4 linked regions of the Callithrix jacchus genome follow. The main gene of each other region encodes a partner of the protein of the gene in region 2 in a complex. Links are inferred from orthologs where the notes say so. Each region holds a gene or a part of one and is shown on either strand. Other genes may lie near its edges.

Region 1 (4,037 bases), on a different chromosome or scaffold from region 2:
CTTCTGTCCCTCCCCTCAGCCTTGGATGTTCCACTGGGCGTTGTGGGGCAGAGGCTGAAGGGAGCCTGCCACAGTCTGCCTCCATTTGTCAAGAAATGCCCACTGGGGCCAATGTGTGCATGGAGCTGCTTGGGTCCCAGGCCTTCTCAGAGTTGGCTCTGACCGCCTTCTGCCCCAGGCGATGTGGAGGGCACAGACCCTCCTTTATGAAACTGGCAAAGCTGTCCCCACCCCCCATGGCTTCCGTGCTCCTCAGCCCAGCCCCTCCCTGTGTGCTAAACAACCCTGTGGTGGCTCACACCTGTAATCCCAGCACTTTGGGAGGCCACGTGGATCACGAGGTCAGGAATTCGAGACCAGCCTGACAAACATGGGGAAACCCCGTCTCTACTAAAAATACAAAAATTAGCTGGCATGGTCGCGTGCGCCTGTAATCCCAGCTACTCAGGAGGCTGAAGCAGGAAAACTACTTGAACCCAGGAGGCGGAGGCTGCAATGAGCCGAGATTGAGCCACTGCACTCCAGCCTGGGTGACAGAGTGAGATTCCGTCTCAAAAAAAAAAAGACATGACAACAACCCTTTTACGCATTGGTACCCACTCCCCCACTCCACCCTCCCACCACGGCGCCTGAAGAGGCAGTTGGTGCCGTTGGCCAGTGAGTGGCATCACCAGGTCTGGGACTGCACGCTCGCTGCCTTTACTGCACTGACCTGTTCCTGCAGCGTCCCAGGTGTTCCCGTGCTGCAGGAAGAGGGGCATGGCCAGCACCCTGCGCCCTTGCCTCCTGTTGAGGACCGTGCTTCCTGGAGAGCACTCTCTGTGCTCTGCCGGGCCCTTCTCCCGGCTCACTGTGGGAGCACTGGGTCCACACTGCCCCCCCTCCACCTGTGATGCCTTCCCACCACCTGAAATCTCTAGCTGCCATCAATCAGAACAGGGATTAAAGGAGCCCTGCACGCTTTGGGCTAGCTCAGTCGGTGTCATGGAAAGGAGCCTGCAGCCCTACAGGCAGGCACGGAGGCACTGGCACGGACCACTGCACAGCCAGTGGGCGCGTGTCCCCTCCTGTGCTGGGGCGGGGGTCCCAGCTTCCCTCCACCCAGCCTCCCCAGCCACTGTGCTGACCCACTCCTGCTTTAATTTAGTCCTAAGTCTCGAAACTAATCTAGAAATCCTTTATTTACATTTTCTCTTAGAAAAAATAAAAAGATCTGCTGCCCTGGTGATTCCTCCAATTTGGGGTCTTTTGGGAAAGGTTTGAGGGGGTACAGGGCGGCCTCCCCAGGCCGTCCATTGTCCACCAAGAGCTCCTGCTCATCTGGCCCTGGAGCGGGGCTTCCCTGAGATCAGCCCCGGGGTCCTGGGCAACAGGCATCATGCCAGGCCTGGGGCAGGGTTGGCACAAGGGGCAGGGACTGGGAGGTGCTCGGACAGCCTCATCATCAGCAACTAGACTGGCTCACAGGCAGAGAGAACATGGGCTAGATGCCATGAGTCCCATGCATGGGGCCAGGTAGCTGTGAGGTCTGGAGACTATTTGCTGTTTTCTGTGAACCACCGGAGCACCGCCTCCTTGTTCTCCGTCACCCACTTGATGTTGGCTCTTGTCTTCTCCAGGGCCTGCTCCAGCGCCCGGGTGCCTGAGCCGAAGCCTACATCCTCGTTGTTCTTCTTGAACTGCTCCAACTGCCAGAAAAACAAAGATTCTCAGCCCCGGGCTGGGTCCCAATACAGCCTTGAGGAGGGGCTCTCTCAGGTCTCTGGCTTCCCACTCCCACATGAGAGTCCTCAGAGATGGGAACCACACCATACCCTGTTCCAGGGATAGGGAAGGCGTCCACCTTGCTCCCGGGCAAAGTCCTTGTTAACACAGAGGTTGCAAAATGACAGGCCCTGGCAAAACCTGGCTCAGGAAGGATTCTGGCCTTCATGTTTAATATTTAATTATATCAATCTCATCAAGAGAGTAACGAGGAGCTAATGAAACAGATGCCACATGGAAGCAACCAGCCAAATCGAAAATATGGAAATTTCTAAACCACAAATGATCCAGTTGCTTCAATAAAAGGATCCAGAAGGGAAGAAGTAAAACTACGTGTAGATGACATGTTTGCATATATAAAATTTTAAGGAATCCATTAAAAAAAAAACTATTAGAACTAATGATTTCTGCAAGGTTGTAGGATACAAAAGCAATCCATTAAAAAAAAAAACTATTAGAACTAACTATCTCTACAAGGTTGCAGGATACAAAATCAGGTGTATTCCTATACACTAGAATACACAAAAAAATCAATGGTGAATTTTGAAGCATTGATTGTATGATGTGCAAAGAAAAAGAAAAAAAATTAGTGGTGAAGAGTGACTGCTAGTGAGTACAAGGTTTCTTTTTTTTTTTTTTGAGACGGAGTTTCGCTCTTGTTGCCCAGGCTGGAGTGCAACGGCGCGATCTCGGCTCACCGCAACCTCCACCTTCTGGGTTCAAGCAATTCTCCTGCCTCAGCCTCCCGAGTAGCTGGGACTACAGGCACGCACCACCATGCCCAGCTAATTTTTGTATTTTTAGTAGAGACGGCGTTTCACCATGTTGACCAGGATGGTCTTGATCTCTTGACCTCGTGATCCACCCGCCTCGGCCTCCCAAAGTGCTGGGATTACAGGCATGAGCCACCGTGCCCGGCCACAAGATTTCTTTTTAGAGTAATAAAAGTGTTCTGGAATTAAACAGTAGTGATTTTTGTTTGGTTTGGTTTTTTGAGACAGGGTCTTGCTCTGCTGCACAGGCTGGAGTGCAGTGGCACCATCTCAGTAATCCCAGCTACTTGGGAGGCTGAAGCAGGAGAATCTCTTGAACCTGGGAGGCAAGAATGCAGTGAGCCCAGATTGCACTCTGCACTCCAGCCTGGGTGACAGAGCGAGACTTAGTCTAAAAAAAAAAAAAAAAAATGCCTTTATTTTCCATATGAATAAATTATTTAGAGGTAAAATTAGGTAACGTCAGTGATTTGCTTTAAAATTGACTGCCCAGAAAGAGTACTGGCAAAATGCTGGTCACTGTTGAACGTGGGTAATGGACACATGGAGGTTTATTATACCACTCTTTCCTTTTGTGCCTATATAAAAATCCCAAGATGATTTTTTTGTATCGAACTGTTAACATTTCCATAGTCTGGCTACTCAGCTTCCTCTGTAAATGAGGCAGGCCTGGCAGCGGGGAGCCCGTGCTCCCTCAGGCCCACAGTGGGGGAAGAATGCAGGACCTCTCTGGCCTGGGAAGGAAGCCGACGGAGCCCAGGGCTGGGAATGGCTTCTTACCTGCTGCAGCTCATACTCAGTGGAGAAGCGTCGCGTCACTCCCTGGATGAGGTTGGAGAAGGAGAAAGAGCCACCACCGTAACTGCAGGGAGGGAGAGAGGTGGACCGTGAGGGAGGCCAGGACCTACAGGGGCTCCTCACACCTACTGGGGAGGGAGCCATGATCTTAGAAGAGATGAAACGACACGCCCTGCGAGGTCCCTCCAGGATACCAGGACACAGGGGAGTCACAGCATGAATAGACCTGACTGCCCACCTCTGAGCTCCGCTCTCTTCCAGAGAATACTCCCACCGGCCACGTTTTCCTTCCAAGTGGGAAACCCCAGCTTGTCTTTCATTCCTGTCCCCACCCTAGCCCCCAGGCTTGGCTGATTTTTGTCCACTCCTGGACAGTGTCCCCAGCATGTCCCATGCACACAGGCCACCCCTTGGGCCCCAGCCTCGGCACTCACTGTGCCTGACACCCTCTCCACAGACTCACTCGTTAAAGAGCTTCTTCCAGTTGCTCTGGACAAAGTCCCAGACCAGAGGTTGCCCAACGACGTTGTTGGCAATGCTGATGATGGTGGAGGTGGCGTCCTGCTTCCGGATTAAGTCAGGGTTCAGGGTGTAGCTCAGGTACCTAAGAAGGCCAGATGCCAAGTCAGCGACTGCTAATTCAGGTGACTGAGGAGAGAACCTGGACTGTCCCACGCCACACGTCACCTCCGCCTGCTGAGA
Region 2 (5,515 bases):
TCTGCCTAGAAGATGGGTATAGTGAAACATGGTGCAGACATGTTGAGAAGATTTACGCACCTCGCATGTAGCAACTGCGTAATATTAACTCTTCCTGCTGTCTAGTTTCAGTTTCCCAGCCCCTTCTCTTCCTTTCAATACTGCATTTCTTTAAAGAGGAGCTCACAACTCAATGTGCCTGCATCTCTTCCGTGCCCTCAGCCTGACCTCTCCTGCATGCTTCCTGAAGCCACTCTGCAGCACACCAGTGACCTCCTGGGAAATGACTGGCTGTGAAGGATCTTGGGAGAGGCATCTGAGCACCAGTGGCTTTAAGCCATCATGACACACTGCCTCAAAGACCTGGTTCAGCCCCAAACTCCTCCTCACTTTGCAAAACTCTCCTCCTTGGCTTCCAGAACAGCATCTCTTTTTTGCACTGTCCCTTGGACCCCTCCTCCCCGACTTCTTTCCCTCCCCCCACTTTTGGATTTCTGTCCTCTCTTCTCTCCTCAGGGAGAAAATGTCTCCACTCACAGGACTTGAACTATATCCTGATGCATTTTCCTCCCTAAAAAAAAAACAACTGTTTCTCTACTCACATTTGTGAAACCAAATGAGTGGAGGATTTTCCAATACTGACCAATTCTCCAACTCTTCAGACACCCACTGGGTTTTCTACAGTTCAATTCCAATATTAGTTGCCTGGGGTTAGTGCAGTCCCTGCGGGTCAAGGGCTCAGTACAAGACTGCTCCCAACTTCAGACATCAATTTTGAGTAGTTGGTCCCCAGGTTACCCACACTTCTGTCTGGCTTGGCTACAAATCAGAGGTTTCCATGACCGCTTCCTCATGTTTTATTAGAATGGCTCACAAAAATCAAGGAAACTTTTTATTTACATTTACTGGTTTATTATAAGGAATACAAATGAACAGCCAGTAGAAGACACACACAGCCTGAGGTCCACAAGGGTCCTTTTTAAGAGACAGGGTCTCACTTTGTCATCTAGGCTGGAGTGCAGTGGCATGAGCATAGCTCACTACAGCCTCAAACTTCTAGGCTCAAGTGATCCTCCTGCCCCAGCCTCCCAAGCAGCTAGGACAATCAGTGCATGCCATTGCATCCAGCTAGTTTTATTTTTTATACAGATGGGGGTCTTGCTATGTTGCCTAGGCTGGTCTCAAACTCCTGGCCTCAAGTGATCTTTCTGCCTTGGTTTTCCAAAGTACTTGGATTACAAATGTGGACCACCGCACCTGGCCCCTGATCTCAGTGAGGAGCAGGTTTCTCCATGTGTGTCAACCCCAGCTCCTTGAGAGTGTGGCCTAAAGTCCTTGGTCCCGGAGGCTCATCAGGAAATGTGACAGTGACTGCAGAACCTCATGGCCACTGTGGCCAGGTGGCAGCAGCCGTTTGGCCAGGTCTCTCCTCCTCCAGCCTCCTGTCCAGCACCCAGGCCCGCCTGTATTCCCCCACGCACCCCACCCACGCTCTCCCTCCTGTTGGTGAGTGCCACTCAAGCCTCTGCCTCAGAAAAGCCCTTCTGTAGCTTCCGAGTCAGACCAACTTGTTCTCCAGGTGCAGCTCCAGCAACATCTCTTGCTGGCCCCTCCCCAGCTCTCACCAGTGAAGGCTTCCTGCATCCTGAAGGCGTTTTGTTGGTGTCTTTTAATCTGGCTGTGCTATTGTTGGTGTTTAACAGTCTTCCAGCTATGTTGGAAGCTTCTAGAAGGCACTTTTCACTTGCTTGCGTGTTTTTCCCAGTGTCTATTTGAGGCCTTTGCATGGGGTAGGCGTCAAATGGCTGGAATAGCTCAAGGTCATACAACCCATGAACGAGCAGTGGGGTCAGAAGTGGCCCCCATGGTGCCTGAGCACAACTCTCCCTGCCCTTTGCCCTTGGCACTCTGGTCTGCATGTCCCTGTGGCCTCTCAGGGGCGCGTCTCTTAGGGCTGGGTCAGAAGGCCTGGGCGGCTGTCCTCAGGCTGTCACACACCTAGGGAAATGCTCCCATTTCTGGTAACCTTGGCCTCCACTCCTGCAAACTTCGGTAAATGTGTAACTCGACCCTGTACTAGCTCACTCTGTTCAGCAGTGAAACTGCGCATCGATCACTAAGGCTTCCTGGAAGAGGTCCCGGTGTGAGCGCCGCTTCCTGGCGTCTGTCCTTGCGGCCAGCCTGTGGTCTGGCCAAATGATGTAACCCCCACTCCAGCCTGTGCACAGACAGCTTGGGAACGGCTCCATCCCCACCCCTCAGATATAAATAGGGCCTCGTGGCCCAGCCAGGAGAAGAAGCTGCCCTTGTTCCAGAGACTACAGCAGAAGGTAAGCCAGGGGCCCTTCTCAGCTCCTCGGCCTTGTCTCTCTCAGATGTAACTGAGTGGCAGGCCAGAAGTCCGGCGGGGGGCACGGGTGATGCCTGAAGCACCTCCCCCCCCTCCATAAGACCAGTCACCAGGACATGGGCTTCCCCTACTCAGTGCCCACCCTGGGTCTTATTGGGGAGCTGCTCCTCCTTAGCAATAGGACAAGAAGGTCAGGTCTTCCTGCTTCCACTGAGAAGAGCTGGGGTCCTCAGGGACGGAGCAGACTGGCACAGGAGCAGAGTTACCATGCCCAAGAGTCCACTGGCTCCTCTTGCCATCAGAAGGAACATCAGGGCTTGTGCAGGAAACGGGGCTGGAGGGAAGGGCCAGGCTCGGTCAGCCCCCAGCTGGGATCCCCAGAGTGGTCACTGTACCCCTCCCTTGAGACTGCCTGACTGTGTGTCATCAGGTTGGTCGCAGTCTCCGTCAACCTAGATTTGCCCGCCTGTAAAATGGGACTAATCATGATGCCCGGGCGCCCTCCCTAGGGGCTCTGGTAGAGCTGAAGAGAGCAAATATAGTGTGAAAGTGCTTTCTAAACTTTGGGATAAGCTAAAAGGCAGATTCTAATTTTATTCGAGGACGGCAAAGATTGGTGCTTAAGCTTGTGGATGACAGAGTCAGGGGGCCTGGGTCAGAGTCCTAGTTCTGTCTCTTCCCAGCTGTGTGACTTTGAACAGCTGGGAAGAGACTTTGACCTCTCTTCCTCTGCAAAACAGCATGAAGCAATGCATTAACTACTTCTCCAGGATGTACTAAGTCCCAGGGACCATCCCGGGAATGTGGGCTGTATCAGTAAACATGACAGTGAGAACCCTGCTCCCCCGGCTCATTCACATCAGAGCAAAGACGCTGGACAGAATAAGTGCGTAACTACACGGTACAGAGGGTTATCAAAAGAGAAAAGGGGAGCAGGATGAGAGAGCTGAGAGTGCCCGGCGTGGTGGGGAAAGCTGCAGGGTGAAATACAGCATCAAGGAAACCTCAGGGAAGGTGAGGACTGTGTTGAGGTCAGAGGGGTTGATATAAGAACAGTGCCCCGGAAATGACAGGCACCACGGGAGGGGGAGCTGCCATCCTCACCTTTAGCATTCAGCCCGGGAGAAGTGCAGGGACATAGAAGGGGTGGGAGCTGGTGAAGGGGCAGGGGCAGGAGGGGAGAAGGCGGAGGGGCACTCAGGGCGAGGGTGTCAGGCCCTTGGCTCCCGGGACTGGGCTGCGTGCAGACTTGGAACCAGCCTAGGGAGCAGCCACAGATCACAACTGAGAACAAACAGCAGTCTCTGCCTCAAAAATGGCCCATGGAATTGCATCTCGGGAGACGGTGCCTGCTCAGGAGCAGCACAGTGAGTGGCGGCACTGACCCGCACCATCCAAACCCTGGAACCCTCGGTGCTTGTCAGGCAGGACTTCCCAGCAGTCGGTTCCCACAGCTTTCCCCTGATGATCCGATTTGATGGGACTGTCTAGATTAGGTGTGAACTGACAACTGAGGCTTCTCTGCACAGAAAGGCCTGCTCGGAACAGGGAGAGTTTTCTGTTCTGTTTTTCCATGTCGCATGGCTCTTCCCGAGAACAGTGGATGGAGTCAAATACATGGGGATGGGGGTGAGATGATAGCTGAGGTCAGAAGTCAAAGTCTCTTTGGCAACTGAATGACTGGAGCAGACTAAAACACATCAGGCATGTCAGCAGATGCACCATGTTGAAGGCAGGTGCTGGTTACCAGTCTGGGTGAGGGAAGCCAGCGGCCAGTGTAAGAAGAATGACTGGATGTGCTTAGGTAAAGCAGAAAAATCTAGGCATCACGGTGACCTTGAGTCAGTGATGACATGCCACAGCTCCAAGGAAGCCCGGCCTGGCCCTGTGGGGACAGAAAAGGCTAACAAGTGATGATATTGCAGCACCCCCCCACACAAGAAATGAGTGAGACGTGGTACAAATTGTTAGAACTGGTTTTTGTTTGTTTGTTTTGAGACAGAGTCTTGCTTTGTCCCCCAGGTGGGAGTGCAGCAGCGCGTCTCAGCTCACTGCATCCTCCACCTCCTGGGTTCAAGTGAGTCTTCTGCCTCAGCCTCCTGAGTAGCTGGGACTACAGGCATGTGCCACCACTCTCAGCTAATTTTTTGTAATTTTTTTTAGTAGAGATGAGGTGTCACCGTGTTAGCCAGGATGGTCTCAATCATCTGACCTTGTGATCTGCCCACCTCAGCCTCCCAAAGTGCTGGGATTACAGGTGTGAGCCACCGCACCTGGCCAAACTGTTAGAATTGAAGGAATCAACAGAATAAACGTTCATCCCTTTGATTGAGAATAGTCAGATGAAACGAATTAGCAGGGTCAACCCAAGAACCTTCTCTTCCGGGATCTCGGGTTGCTTTTATTTGCAGCAGCTGAGGCTGAAGCACAGCACTGAGGTCTTTGAGAGAACACAGTGCCGGAGCTCCCCTGGCCCCCTCTGGGGACCCATGTCTAAGGCAGGGATTCTAAACCCTGGTTATGTATCAGAGTCACCCGAGATTTTTGTTGTTGGTGGTGGTGGTTTTTTTTTTTAATCTACACCTTGTTCCAGCACAGACTAAGGAATCTATCAGCGAGCAGGCCAGGCTGGGTATGCATGCCTTTGGGGCTCTGCAGGGCATAGCGCTGTGCAGGGATGGTTGAAAGCTGGTTTGGGGGTCGACACAGGTGGGAAATGCTTGGGCTTTGGGCTGAACCAGCTCAATCCTGGCTGTATATGAGGACCACAGGGAGATGACAAAACCATTCCCACGCCTCACCCTAGGGCCATTTAATGAGCATCTCAGGGAGTTGGTGGGCCTCCACCTACTGACTGGCACACACTTGCCTCTCTGGGATAGAACTTACAGCTACAGGCACGAGCATGTCTTGGTCTGCTTGGGCTGCCGTAAGTACCACAGGCTGGGAGCCTTCAACAACAGAAATGTGTTATCTCACAGCTCCGGTGGCCGGAAACCCAGGATCAAGCTGTCCACAGAGCTGCTTTCCTCTGAGGCCTACCTCCTTGGCCTGTAGACGGCCGTCTTCTCTCCGTCTCCTCACACGGTCCTCCCTCTGTGTGTGTCTGTGTCCTCATCTCCCCCTCTTATGGGGACACAGTCATATTAGATCAGGGCCCACCCTCGTGACCTTATTTTAACTTAA
Region 3 (4,923 bases), about 12 Mb from region 2:
CTTACTCTGTGCGCAGCATCTTCTTTGGTGCCATCGGTGTAGTGATTACTTTAAATTCCTTCATTTAGGACAAAATTCTCCAGGTACGGGCGCATGAGGGGTGGCCCAAGAAAGCCAGTCCTTGATTGATGAAGCACATAGTCCAAGCCCCCTGACCTAGGGCCACTCATCCCTTCATCTAAGCTAAGTCCTAAGCCACACCAGCCATACCCACAATGCACCCTGCCTCTGAGTCCCCCTGTCTGGGCCACTCTTGGACAAACCCGAGCCTGCGTTCCCCTGCCAGTGTATCACAAGCTCTTCGATGCTTCGGATTCCTCCAGCTATAAGCACAATGGGACGGAACTTACCCTCCGCTATTCAACAGGAACAGTCAGTGGCTTTCTGAGCCAGGACGTCATCACTGTAAGTGGGGCCGCCATAGGTCATCTGCCCCCTACCCCTTCTGTTCCCAGGCCTCTCCTGACCCTCCAGGGCCCACACCTGGGGGAAGGTGCACTGCAGCCCACTTGAAGCCTGGGGAGCTAAGGAACACCGTGCTCTGCCGCATCTGACTGGAGCTGCAAAATAGCAGTACCTATGGGGGAGCAAGCCTGGGCTGCGGGCTCACCGTTGGGTGACTTATGGAGGCTTTTGCATCTAACTTAACTTTAATCTAACGCAGGGCTTGTCCTGAGCCCCACGGCTGCAGTCAAGTCACTTGTCCAAGTTCACCAGCTCTGACTGGGCTCTTAGCTACACCTTAGACTGAAATCCAGGGGCAGAGGCAGGGGCAGGGTGAGTTTTAGGGTCTGGCATAGGTTTTAAGGTTGCACTTGAGGTTGACCTTGGGAATTAGGTCAAGACCTGCTTTTCTTTTTCATTTGGCCCATGTCTGACCCTTTCCTCATGCTGGAGTTTCTCAGCCCCTGCTCTGTCACTTAGGGGAGGGGTACACATGGGACCTGAGAGGAAATCCGGGTGATTCCTGCCTCCTTCCCTTTTTCTGTGAACTCAGGTATAAAGGAGGAAGAAGGGCAAGCTTGGTTGTGCTGGAGAAAGTCTTCGCCCATGATAAGGGAGAATGCCAAGACCCAGTACGGCCGGGCATGAAAGCTAGACCACTGGGGAAGGGGAGGGGAGATTTGGCAGCTTTACCACCCTCTCAACCTTTGCTGTCCAGTCCCTGGTCAACTCCAGCTCTCTCTGGGTTCCGCAGCAGAGATGTGTATTGGCACAGAGTGTGTGCGTGCAGAGTCTAGGAAATACTCTTATCCTGATTTCTGTACCCTGGAGCATGTGTGCCCCTGGGATCCCTAGTGTAGAAGCCCAGACCAGACTCTGGCCAAGGAGTGGGCAGTGGGCTTGGTCTCCTCTGGTCCTTCCTCCCACAGGTGGGTGGAATCACGGTGACGCAGACGTTTGGAGAGGTCACGGAGATGCCCGCCTTACCCTTCATGCTGGCCGAGTTCGATGGGGTTGTGGGCATGGGCTTCAGTGAACAGGCCATTGGCAAGGTTACTCCTCTCTTCGACAACATCATCTCCCAAGGGCTGCTAAAAGAGGACGTCTTCTCTTTCTACTACAACAGGTGGGGACCGGGACCCCAGGGACTCCAGGGACACCAGGGGCTGAGGTGGGGGAGGAGAGGGAAGAAGAGCTGGGGAGTGAAAAGGGAGCCTGGGCCAGAATTGTTTGTGAGTAGGTGACAGCCAGTCAGTATCTAGAGCTGCATTAGCAAATATGGAAGCCACGACTGAAACGTGAATTTATTAGGTACAGTTAAGCATCAATTAAGCATTCAACAGGTGCCTCTTAGTTGCACTAGCCACATGTCAAATGCTTGGCAGCCATGGTGGCTGGTAACTACGGTCTTGGACGATGCAGATAGAGAACATTCCCAGCATGGCAGGACATTCTATTTATTTATTTATTTTTTGAGATGGAGTTTCGCTCTTGTTACCCAGGCTGGAGTGCAATGGTGCGATCTCGGCTCACCGCAACCTCCGCCTCCTGGGTTGAGGCAATTCTCCTGCCTCAGCCTCCTGAGTAGCTGGGATTACAGGCACACACCACCATGCCAGCTAATGTTTTGTATCTTTAGTAGAGACGGGGTTTCACCATGTTGACCAGGATGGTCTCGATCTCTTGACCTCGTGATCCACCTGCCTCTGCCTCCCAAAGTGCTGGGATTACAGGCTTGAACCGGGCCGGCAGGACATTCTAATAGACGGTACCACTCTGGAGGAAGAGGAGATGCCAGGTGGGGGTGATGGAAAATAAGGTGTTTCTGTGACCTGGAACCCTGCCTGTGAGGGCCATGGCTCCTCCCACACAGAGACAGCCCACTTCAGTCATCCATTAGATCCCTCATTTGCTTGTTTGCTCACTCACCAGTTCAGTAAATGCTGTGTGCCAAGCCCTGTGGTAGGCTCTGGGGGTACAGCAGTGAACATAGTGATCAAGGCAGAATCCGTACTCCTCTACCCACATAGCGCTTACAGGCTAATGAGGAAGACAAGACATATTCCAACGTAATGAGTGTCACAGGCAGGCAGCGAGTGTGCTGCTGAAAACCATGGATGCTTTTCAGTTCTAGGCTGAGCTTATATGCAGCTCAGCCAGCCTTGGGGAAGCTGTTGTCAGCTCTTGCACAGGGTTGGGTTTTACTCCAAACTGCTGGGTTTAGGCAGATGGCATGAGTTGGAGATAAGAGGGGCTGGGAGCAGTGGCTCACGATTGAATCCCAGCACTTTGGGGAGGCCAAGGTGAGAGGATCACTTGACCCCAGGAGTTAAGGCTGCAGTGAGCAGTGATTGTGCCACTGCACTCCAGCTAAGGCAACAGAGTGAGCTCCAATCTCAAAAAAAAAAAAAATCACAAGGGTGAGAACACAAGGCCAGTGGCAAAAAGAATAGAGGAGAGGAGGTCAGGCTCAGTGGCTCATTCCTGTAATCCCAGCACTTTGGGAGGCTGAGGTGGGTGGATCACAAGTTCGGGAGTTTGAGAGCAGCCTGGCCAATATGGTGAAGCCCCATCTCTACTGAAAATACAAAAATTAGCCAAGTGTGGTCGCACACATCTGTAGTCCCAGCTACTCAGGAGGCTGAGGCAGAAGAATCGCTTGAGGTGAGGCAGAGGTTGCAGTGAGCTGAGATCACACCACGGTGCTCCAGCCTGGGCAACAGAGTGAGGCTCCATCTCAAAAAAAAAAAAAAAAAAGAATAGCAGAGAGGACTGGAGTCCAGAGACATCTCAGAGTGAATGGAGAGGAGTCTCTGGTTTAGTGATGGAAAGGGAGGCCTTGAGAAAAAGCCAATTGGTGGCTCTGCAGTTGGGGTGGTCTTCAGAAGAGCGTTTTAGAGGAGGTGGGGACACGGCCAGATGGCAAGCAGTTAAGAGGCAGATGTGGGTGTCAGGAAGTGGAGGTCATGAGATGTAGGCTGCCCTGGGAAATTCAACAGTGAAGGGAATGGGGGTGGTGTGTGGGGTGAGATCCAGAGCAGGAGAGGAAGGGTGGGTGTTTGAAAATGCTAGAGGACGCTCGAGTGATGCCCGTAGGTGGAGGAAGAAGCCAATGGAAAGAAAGAGATAAAAAATGTAGAAAGAGGAGGAGCTAAGTGGGGGCACCAGAATTGGAGGTCATGGAAGAGAGGAGGATCCAGCAGACAGGAAGAAGCCAGGCTTTCAGAGGAGAGGGCCGGCCTCTTCCTTCATCTTGGGATGGGAAGGAGGGAACACCTGGAGAGATCCTAAAGTGTTGGGAGAGGAGCAGGAGGGAAGTTGTGCTGGCACATATGCATCGTTCCGAATTTGTAGAAACACAAGCAGTCTGCAGTTGCACAAAATAACATATGGACACCTACGCACCCATGCACACATTGTGCATGTGTGAATTCTAGTATGAATTCTGGAAAAATACATCCCACACACATGCATGCCCTGGAGAACAGGCCTATAGTAGTCCCTGAGCCAAGTGCAACGTGGAGGAAAGGAAGACGAGGGGAATCAGCTCCAGACTGGCACCAGGGGTCTGGCTCCAGCGCCACACTTGTTCACTCATGGCCTTGGTAACTTCAGGCAGGAGACTTCACCTCTTGGTGACTCCATTGCCTGGAGAGCAAAGAGAGTACATGACACCCACCCTGCCAAACAGCAGGGCTGATGAGGCTTGCATAAAATGAAGCGTCCTTTCCGCTGTCTCTTTCTCTGCAGAGATTCCGAGTAAGGAGAAAGAATCCCCACATGGCTGTGACCTTCCAGTATTCCCTGAGAACCTGACCTAGAATCGCACACACCACTGGCCCACAGCTCGAATCAGCAAGCCCAGCCTCCACTAGATCCTGAAGTTCTCTGTCCCTCCTCCCAGCTCTCTCCATACCCCCCACCCATCCCACACCCAACATCCTCCCCAGGGTCCCCTCCCATGCACTGCTCAATCAGCAGCAACCCAACCCCCGAGCGAGGGGCGTCCATTTGTGTCTTGTTCAATCTGCTCGCTCTCCTTGGACCTGCACCTTTTCTGTGACCTCTTTGGGGATGCTTTTTGGGGCACAGCTGGACTACCCTGGAACACCCTCTGGTTGGGCTTGGGGAGGGGCAAGATAGGCAGAGAAGCAGTAGGGCCTGCGTGCTCCCCAGCAGCAGTCCGCGCTGGCTGGCTGTCACATATGCCTCTGCCCTAGAGCCCTCTGTCCTGCCCTGCACCCTTGCCCAACTCTCCCCGATTGCCTGAGTCCCTGGGTCCTGGAAGTTATGGGTTTCCAAGAGTTTCTGATCTTTCTTTTAGGAATTCCCAGTCGCTGGGAGGACAGATTGTGCTGGGAGGCAGTGACCCACAGCATTATGAAGGGAATTTCCACTATATCAACCTCATCAGGACTGGCCTCTGGCAGATTCCAATGAAGGGGTTAGAAATCCTCAACACTCCCCAGGCTCCAAAAA
Region 4 (4,682 bases), on a different chromosome or scaffold from region 2:
ACAGGCTTGAGCCACTGCGCCTGGCCGAATCTTTTTTTTTTTTTTTTTAATAGAGACAGGGTTTTGCCATGTTGGTCAGGCTGGTCTTGAACACCTGCCTCAGCCTCCCAAAGTGCTGGGATTACAGGCATGAGCCACCAGGCCTGGCCTCATTTAACAGTTACTGAGCAGCTCCAGTGTGCCAGGTTGTACATGAGGCACTGGGGTATGCTGCTCCTGCCATCATGAGATGTGACCAGCAAGAAAATGGGCAAGTGTGATGGGCACATGAAGAAAATGAAGCTGGGTGGCAGAACAGAGAGGGACTGAAGCAGGTACTTTAGGTTGAGGGGTCAGAGACAACCTCTCTCACAAGGTGCCATTTTACAAGGACCTGAAGGACAAAAAGAACCAGACAGGCAGCTGGGCGCAGTGGCTCACGCCTGTAATCCCAGCACTTTTGGGAGGGCGAGGCAGGTGGATCACAAGGTCAGGAGTTTGAGACCAGCCTGGCCAACATGGTGAAACCCCATCTCTTCTAAAAATACTAAATTAGCCAGGCGTGGTGGTGCATGCCTGTAATCCCAGCTACTCGGGAGGCTGAGGCAGGAGAATCACTTGAACCTGGGAGGCAGAGGTTGTAGTGAGTGGAGATTGTGCCATTGCACTCCAGTCTGGGCAATAGAGTTAGATTTGGTCTCAAAAAAAAAAGAACCAGACAGGCAAAGATCTGGAGGAAGATCATGCCAAGCAGCGAGAACAGTCTATTCAAAGGCTATAGGAGTGGAGCGAGCTCAGGGGGTAGAAGAAACAGAAGGGTCAGGAGCCTGGAGGACAGGGAGCCGGGGAAGAGGCAGTGAGGCTGGCAAGGGCTGGGGCCAAATCCCGTAAGCTTCTTGAGGGCATGGAAAAGCATCTAGAATGAGCCTTTTTTTTTTTTTTGAGAGGGAGTCTCGCTTTGTCACCAGGCTGGAGTGCAGTGGCGCAATCTCAGCTCACTCCAACCTCTGACTCCCTGGTTCAAGTGGTTCTCCTGCCTCTGTTTTCTAAGTAGCTGGGATTATAGGTACAGATCACCATGCCCAGCTAATTTTTGTATTTTTAGTAGAGATGGGGTTTCACCATGTTGGCCAGGATGGTCTTGATCTCCCGACCTCACAATTCTCCCGCCTCGGCCTCCCAAAGTGCTGGGATTACAGGCGTGAGCCACAGCGCCAAGTCAAGCATCCTAATAAATGCTTTTTCCCCTGGGCATGGTGGCTCATGCCTGTAATCCCAGCACTTTGGGAGGCTAAGGAGGGTGAATCACTTTGAGCTCAGGAGTTTGAGATCAGCCTGGCTAACATAGAGAAACCCCATCTCTACAAAAAATATAAAACTTAGGTGGCTGTGTAGTCCCAGCTACTCGGGAGGCTGAGGCTGGAGAATCACTTGAGCCTGGGAAGCAGAGTCAAGGTCTGCAGTGAGTCAAGGTCGCACCACTGTACTCCAACCTGGGTGATAGAGTGAGACCCTGTCTCAAAAAAAAAAATAAATAAATAAAAATAAATAAGGCCAAGTGTGCTGGCTTACGCCTGTATTCTTAGCACTTTGGGATGCCAAGGTGGGCAGATCACTTGAGGTCAGGAGTTCGAGACTAGCCTAGCCAACATAGCAAAACCCTGTCTCTACTAAAAAAAATACAAAAATTGGCCAGGCGCGGTGGCTCACACCTGTAATCCCAGCACTTTGGGAGGCCGAGGCAGGTGGATCACGAGGTCAAGAGATCGAGACCATCCTGGTCAAGAAGGTGAAACCCCGTCTCTACTAAAAATACAAAAAAATTAGCTGGGCATGGTGGTGCGTGCCTGTAGTCCCAGCTACTCGGGAGGCTGAGGCAGGAGAATTGCCTGAACCCAGGAGGTGGAGGTTGCCGTGAGCCGAGATTGTGCCATTGCACTCCAGCCTGGGTAACAAGAGTGAAACTCCGTCTCAAAAAAAAAATACAAAAATTAGCCAGGTGTGGTGGCAGGTGCCTGTAATCCCAGCTACTCAGGAGGCAGGCCAATCATTTGAATCCAGGAGGCAGAGGTTGCAGTGAGCTGAGATTGCACCACTACACTCCAGCCTGAGTGACAGAGTGAGACTCCATCTCAAAACAAACAAACAAACAAAAATAAATAAATGCTTTTTCCTCACCAATAGTAGGTAATGACGTTCTACAAATATTATTCTATTAAACTCTCATAACTGCCCATGACAATGCTTTTTTTTCAGAGTTGAGGTCTTGCTCTGTCACCCAGGCTGGAGCACAATGGTACAACCATAGCTCACTGCAGCCTTGAACTCCTGGGCTCAAGTGATCCTCCCACCTCACCTTTTCAAGTAGCTGGGACTACAGGCAGGGGACACCACACCTGACTGAACCACTCTTTTTATTTTCTTTTCTTTTTTGTTTTTTTTTAAATAAAGACGGGGTTTCACCATGTTGGTCAGGCTGGTCTTGAACTCCTGACCTCAGGTGATCCGCCTGCCTTGGCCTCCAAAGTGCTTGGATTATAGGCGTCAGCCACCATGCCTGGCCGACTCAGCCACTCTTAATCTGATTCTTGGCTCCTCTACTAAAAAGGAATAATCCTTGTGCAAATTACTCTCTAGGCCTCAGTTTCCTTACCTGTAAAATGGAGATAACAAAAATGCCTACCTTATTGGGCTATTGTGAGGGTTTAAAAGGTGAATCCCCAGAAAGCACTTAGAAACCACAGGAAGGAATCGAGGTTCACTATAATATCAGCAAGCAATCCACACTGGCTTTATGAATGAAGACACCGAAGTCTAGAAAGGCCAGGTGACTAGGCCAAGGTCACAGGGCAGTTCTGAAGCTGGGGCTGTAACCACTCCATAACATCACATTGTCTTAGGTGTCTCAAGTGACAAGTATCAGGAAAGATGAGTCAAGGGGTGAGAGGAAAGTGAAGGCAGTAAGGTGCTGGGGCCCGAGGACGTTTGAATATGAAGGGTACAAGTGCCACGAAGCCAGGGCTAGGCTCTGGTGCTGTCGCTTGAGAAGGAAGAGGGATGATGCAGCTGTTGATCACCATCCCGGATGTGACTGAGTCACAGTGTCCCCTGGGTTTCACTAGGCTTGCTGGGTCCCAGCTCCCTCCTGACCTGACCCCTAGCCTGGGTACCCAACAGGTCTAATTCTTTGGTACGAATGCCTGGCTTCCCCGTCTGCATGTTCTGCTATCCTCTGCTCTGGTGGTCTTCTTCAGATCTTCTGTCACTGTCTTACAACCTGTATGACCTTGTGTTTGTTGGGGGTTGGTGAAGTGACAGAAACCAAGATTGGGGCCTGAGGTTTGGCATGGGAAGGACCCTGGAGGTGGGACAGAAAGGAAAGGACCATGCTGGCTGCTCTCCATGAGCCCCTGGGTGGGTTCTTCATGCTCCCCATAGGGCCCCGTGTGGTCCCCATGAAAGGAGCTCAAGAGTCCATTACCTTCAAGGCGAGTGTTGGGCTGAACGATGAGCTTCCGAGATTCCTTACGCAGCAATACTGTGTCCCGGAGGGTGAGGAAGCACTCGGGGGGCGCATCAGTGACCGCTGCATACCCCTCATACAGGGCCCGGCCTCCAGCCACATCCCCTGTGGACTTCAGCACCTGTGGGAGGATGGAGTAAGTGTCTAGGATGGGCTCTGCCACAGGCCATAGCTGATTGTGCTCAGCCCTGGACAGTCTGTGCTATGGTTTCAAGGTGTCCCCTCCAAAATTCTGGTGTTGAAACTTATGGTTAAGTTTCAACCTAACCATTAAGGCTTCTTCCTCATGAATGGGATTAAGGCCCTTATAAAAGAGGCTTCAGGCTTAGTGTGGCAGCTCACACCTGTAATCTTAGTACTTTGGGAGGCAGAGGTGGGGGAACAGTGAGCCCAGGAGTTTGAGACCAGCCTGGGCAACATGGAAAGACCCTATCTCTATTAAAAAAAAAAAAAGAAAAGAAAAAAGAAAAAGGCTGGCTATGGTGGCTCATGCCTGCGATCCTGGTACTTATGGAGGCTGAGGTGAGAGGACTGCTTGAGCTCAGGAGTTTGAGACCAGCCTGGACCACATAGTGAGACCTTGTCTCATCTCTAAATAAAAAGAAAAGAAAAAAAGAATAAGGAAAACAGGCTTCATGCCCGTTTGGCCCTATTGCCATTTTGCCTTCCACTCTGTGAGGCCATAGCATTCCTCCCATTCCTCTCCTCCAAAGATTTTGGCAACGAGGTATCATCCTGGATAGAAGGGGAGAGCAGCCTTCACCAGACAAGAAAACTAGCTGGTGCCTTGATCGTGGACTTCCCCACCTCTAGAACTGTCAGAAATACATTTCTGTTCCTTATAAATCACCCAGCCTCTGGTATTTTTTTGTGTTACAACAGCACAAAACGGACTACGACACTCTGCAAAGTGCTGGGCCCTGTCACTTACAGGCGGTGTAACCTTGGACAAGTCACGAAACCACTCTGAGCTGTTATCTCTAAACAGGAATAGCTCTGCTCTCCCTCAGTGTTACTGTGCTGAACGAGTGGGAAACGCAGATCAGTGATGAGCACAGACTAAATGCTCACAAAATTAAAGCTAATGTTTCTTTTGTTTGATTATCTCATTTGACATGTAGACAAGGCAGGTATTATCATTACTGTTTTTTTTTTTGAGACAGTGTCTAACTCTGTCACC

The links. Proteins that work in one complex are often made in the same cells at the same time.
Region 1: the proteins of AGT (region 2) and ANPEP are in contact, whole or in part, in a crystal structure (PDB 4FYS), measured with the Homo sapiens proteins. The link is inferred for Callithrix jacchus from reciprocal best matches to the Homo sapiens genes AGT and ANPEP. Residues at the interface, in NP_001369746.2 of Homo sapiens: Val27, Tyr28, Ile29, His30, Pro31, Phe32; in NP_001141.2 of Homo sapiens: Gln211, Gln213, Ala351, Gly352, Ala353, Met354, Glu355, Arg381, Val385, His388, Glu389, His392, Glu411, Glu418, Asn438, Arg442, Phe472, Tyr477, Ile864, Phe896, Ser897, Asn900, Gln903, Ala904, Arg907.
Region 3: the proteins of AGT (region 2) and REN are in contact, whole or in part, in a crystal structure (PDB 6I3F), measured with the Homo sapiens proteins. The link is inferred for Callithrix jacchus from reciprocal best matches to the Homo sapiens genes AGT and REN. Residues at the interface, in NP_001369746.2 of Homo sapiens: Asp25, Tyr28, Ile29, His30, Pro31, Phe32, His33, Leu34, Val35, Ile36, His37, Asn38, Glu39, Lys91, Leu92, Ala95, Met96, Met99, Leu100, Phe103, Arg107, Arg148, Ala151, Ile152, Gly154, Gln353, Gln354, Asn355, Asn358, Glu391; in NP_000528.1 of Homo sapiens: Tyr81, Met82, Thr84, Gln85, Val102, Asp104, Gly106, Ser107, Asn109, Ser118, Arg119, Leu120, Tyr121, Thr122, Val125, Tyr126, Leu147, Arg148, Tyr149, Ser150, Pro181, Ala182, Leu183, Pro184, Met186, Leu187, Ala188, Glu189, Phe190, Val193.
Region 4: the proteins of AGT (region 2) and DPP3 are in contact, whole or in part, in a crystal structure (PDB 5E2Q), measured with the Homo sapiens proteins. The link is inferred for Callithrix jacchus from reciprocal best matches to the Homo sapiens genes AGT and DPP3. Residues at the interface, in NP_001369746.2 of Homo sapiens: Asp25, Arg26, Val27, Tyr28, Ile29, His30, Pro31, Phe32; in NP_005691.2 of Homo sapiens: Phe109, Glu316, Tyr318, Glu329, Phe381, Gly385, Ile386, Pro387, Ala388, Gly389, Ile390, Asn391, Ile392, Asn394, Arg399, Val412, Leu413, Val415, Ala416, Phe443, Val447, His450, His455, Glu507, Glu508, Asn545, Arg548, Leu552, Glu555, Phe556.

What each region holds. Positions count from the first base shown.
Region 1 is NC_133507.1:18,951,170-18,955,206, forward strand, and holds the end of ANPEP (aminopeptidase N), read right to left. Parts: intron 3,940-4,037; coding exon 3,799-3,939; intron 3,400-3,798; coding exon 3,318-3,399; intron 1,689-3,317; coding exon 1,536-1,688; 3' UTR 1,164-1,535; downstream 1-1,163. UniProt on the Homo sapiens protein: Broad specificity aminopeptidase which plays a role in the final digestion of peptides generated from hydrolysis of proteins by gastric and pancreatic proteases.
Region 2 is NC_133520.1:19,930,979-19,936,493, forward strand, and holds the start of AGT (angiotensinogen), read left to right. Parts: upstream 1-2,272; 5' UTR 2,273-2,309; intron 2,310-5,515. UniProt on the Homo sapiens protein: Essential component of the renin-angiotensin system (RAS), a potent regulator of blood pressure, body fluid and electrolyte homeostasis.
Region 3 is NC_133520.1:31,435,118-31,440,040, reverse strand, and holds part of REN (renin), read left to right. Parts: intron 1-286; coding exon 287-405; intron 406-1,373; coding exon 1,374-1,570; intron 1,571-4,194; coding exon 4,195-4,203; intron 4,204-4,768; coding exon 4,769-4,888; intron 4,889-4,923. UniProt on the Homo sapiens protein: Renin is a highly specific endopeptidase, whose only known function is to generate angiotensin I from angiotensinogen in the plasma, initiating a cascade of reactions that produce an elevation of blood pressure and increased sodium retention by the kidney.
Region 4 is NC_133511.1:123,577,582-123,582,263, reverse strand, and holds part of DPP3 (dipeptidyl peptidase 3), read right to left. Parts: intron 3,624-4,682; coding exon 3,461-3,623; intron 1-3,460. UniProt on the Homo sapiens protein: Cleaves and degrades bioactive peptides, including angiotensin, Leu-enkephalin and Met-enkephalin. Also cleaves Arg-Arg-beta-naphthylamide (in vitro).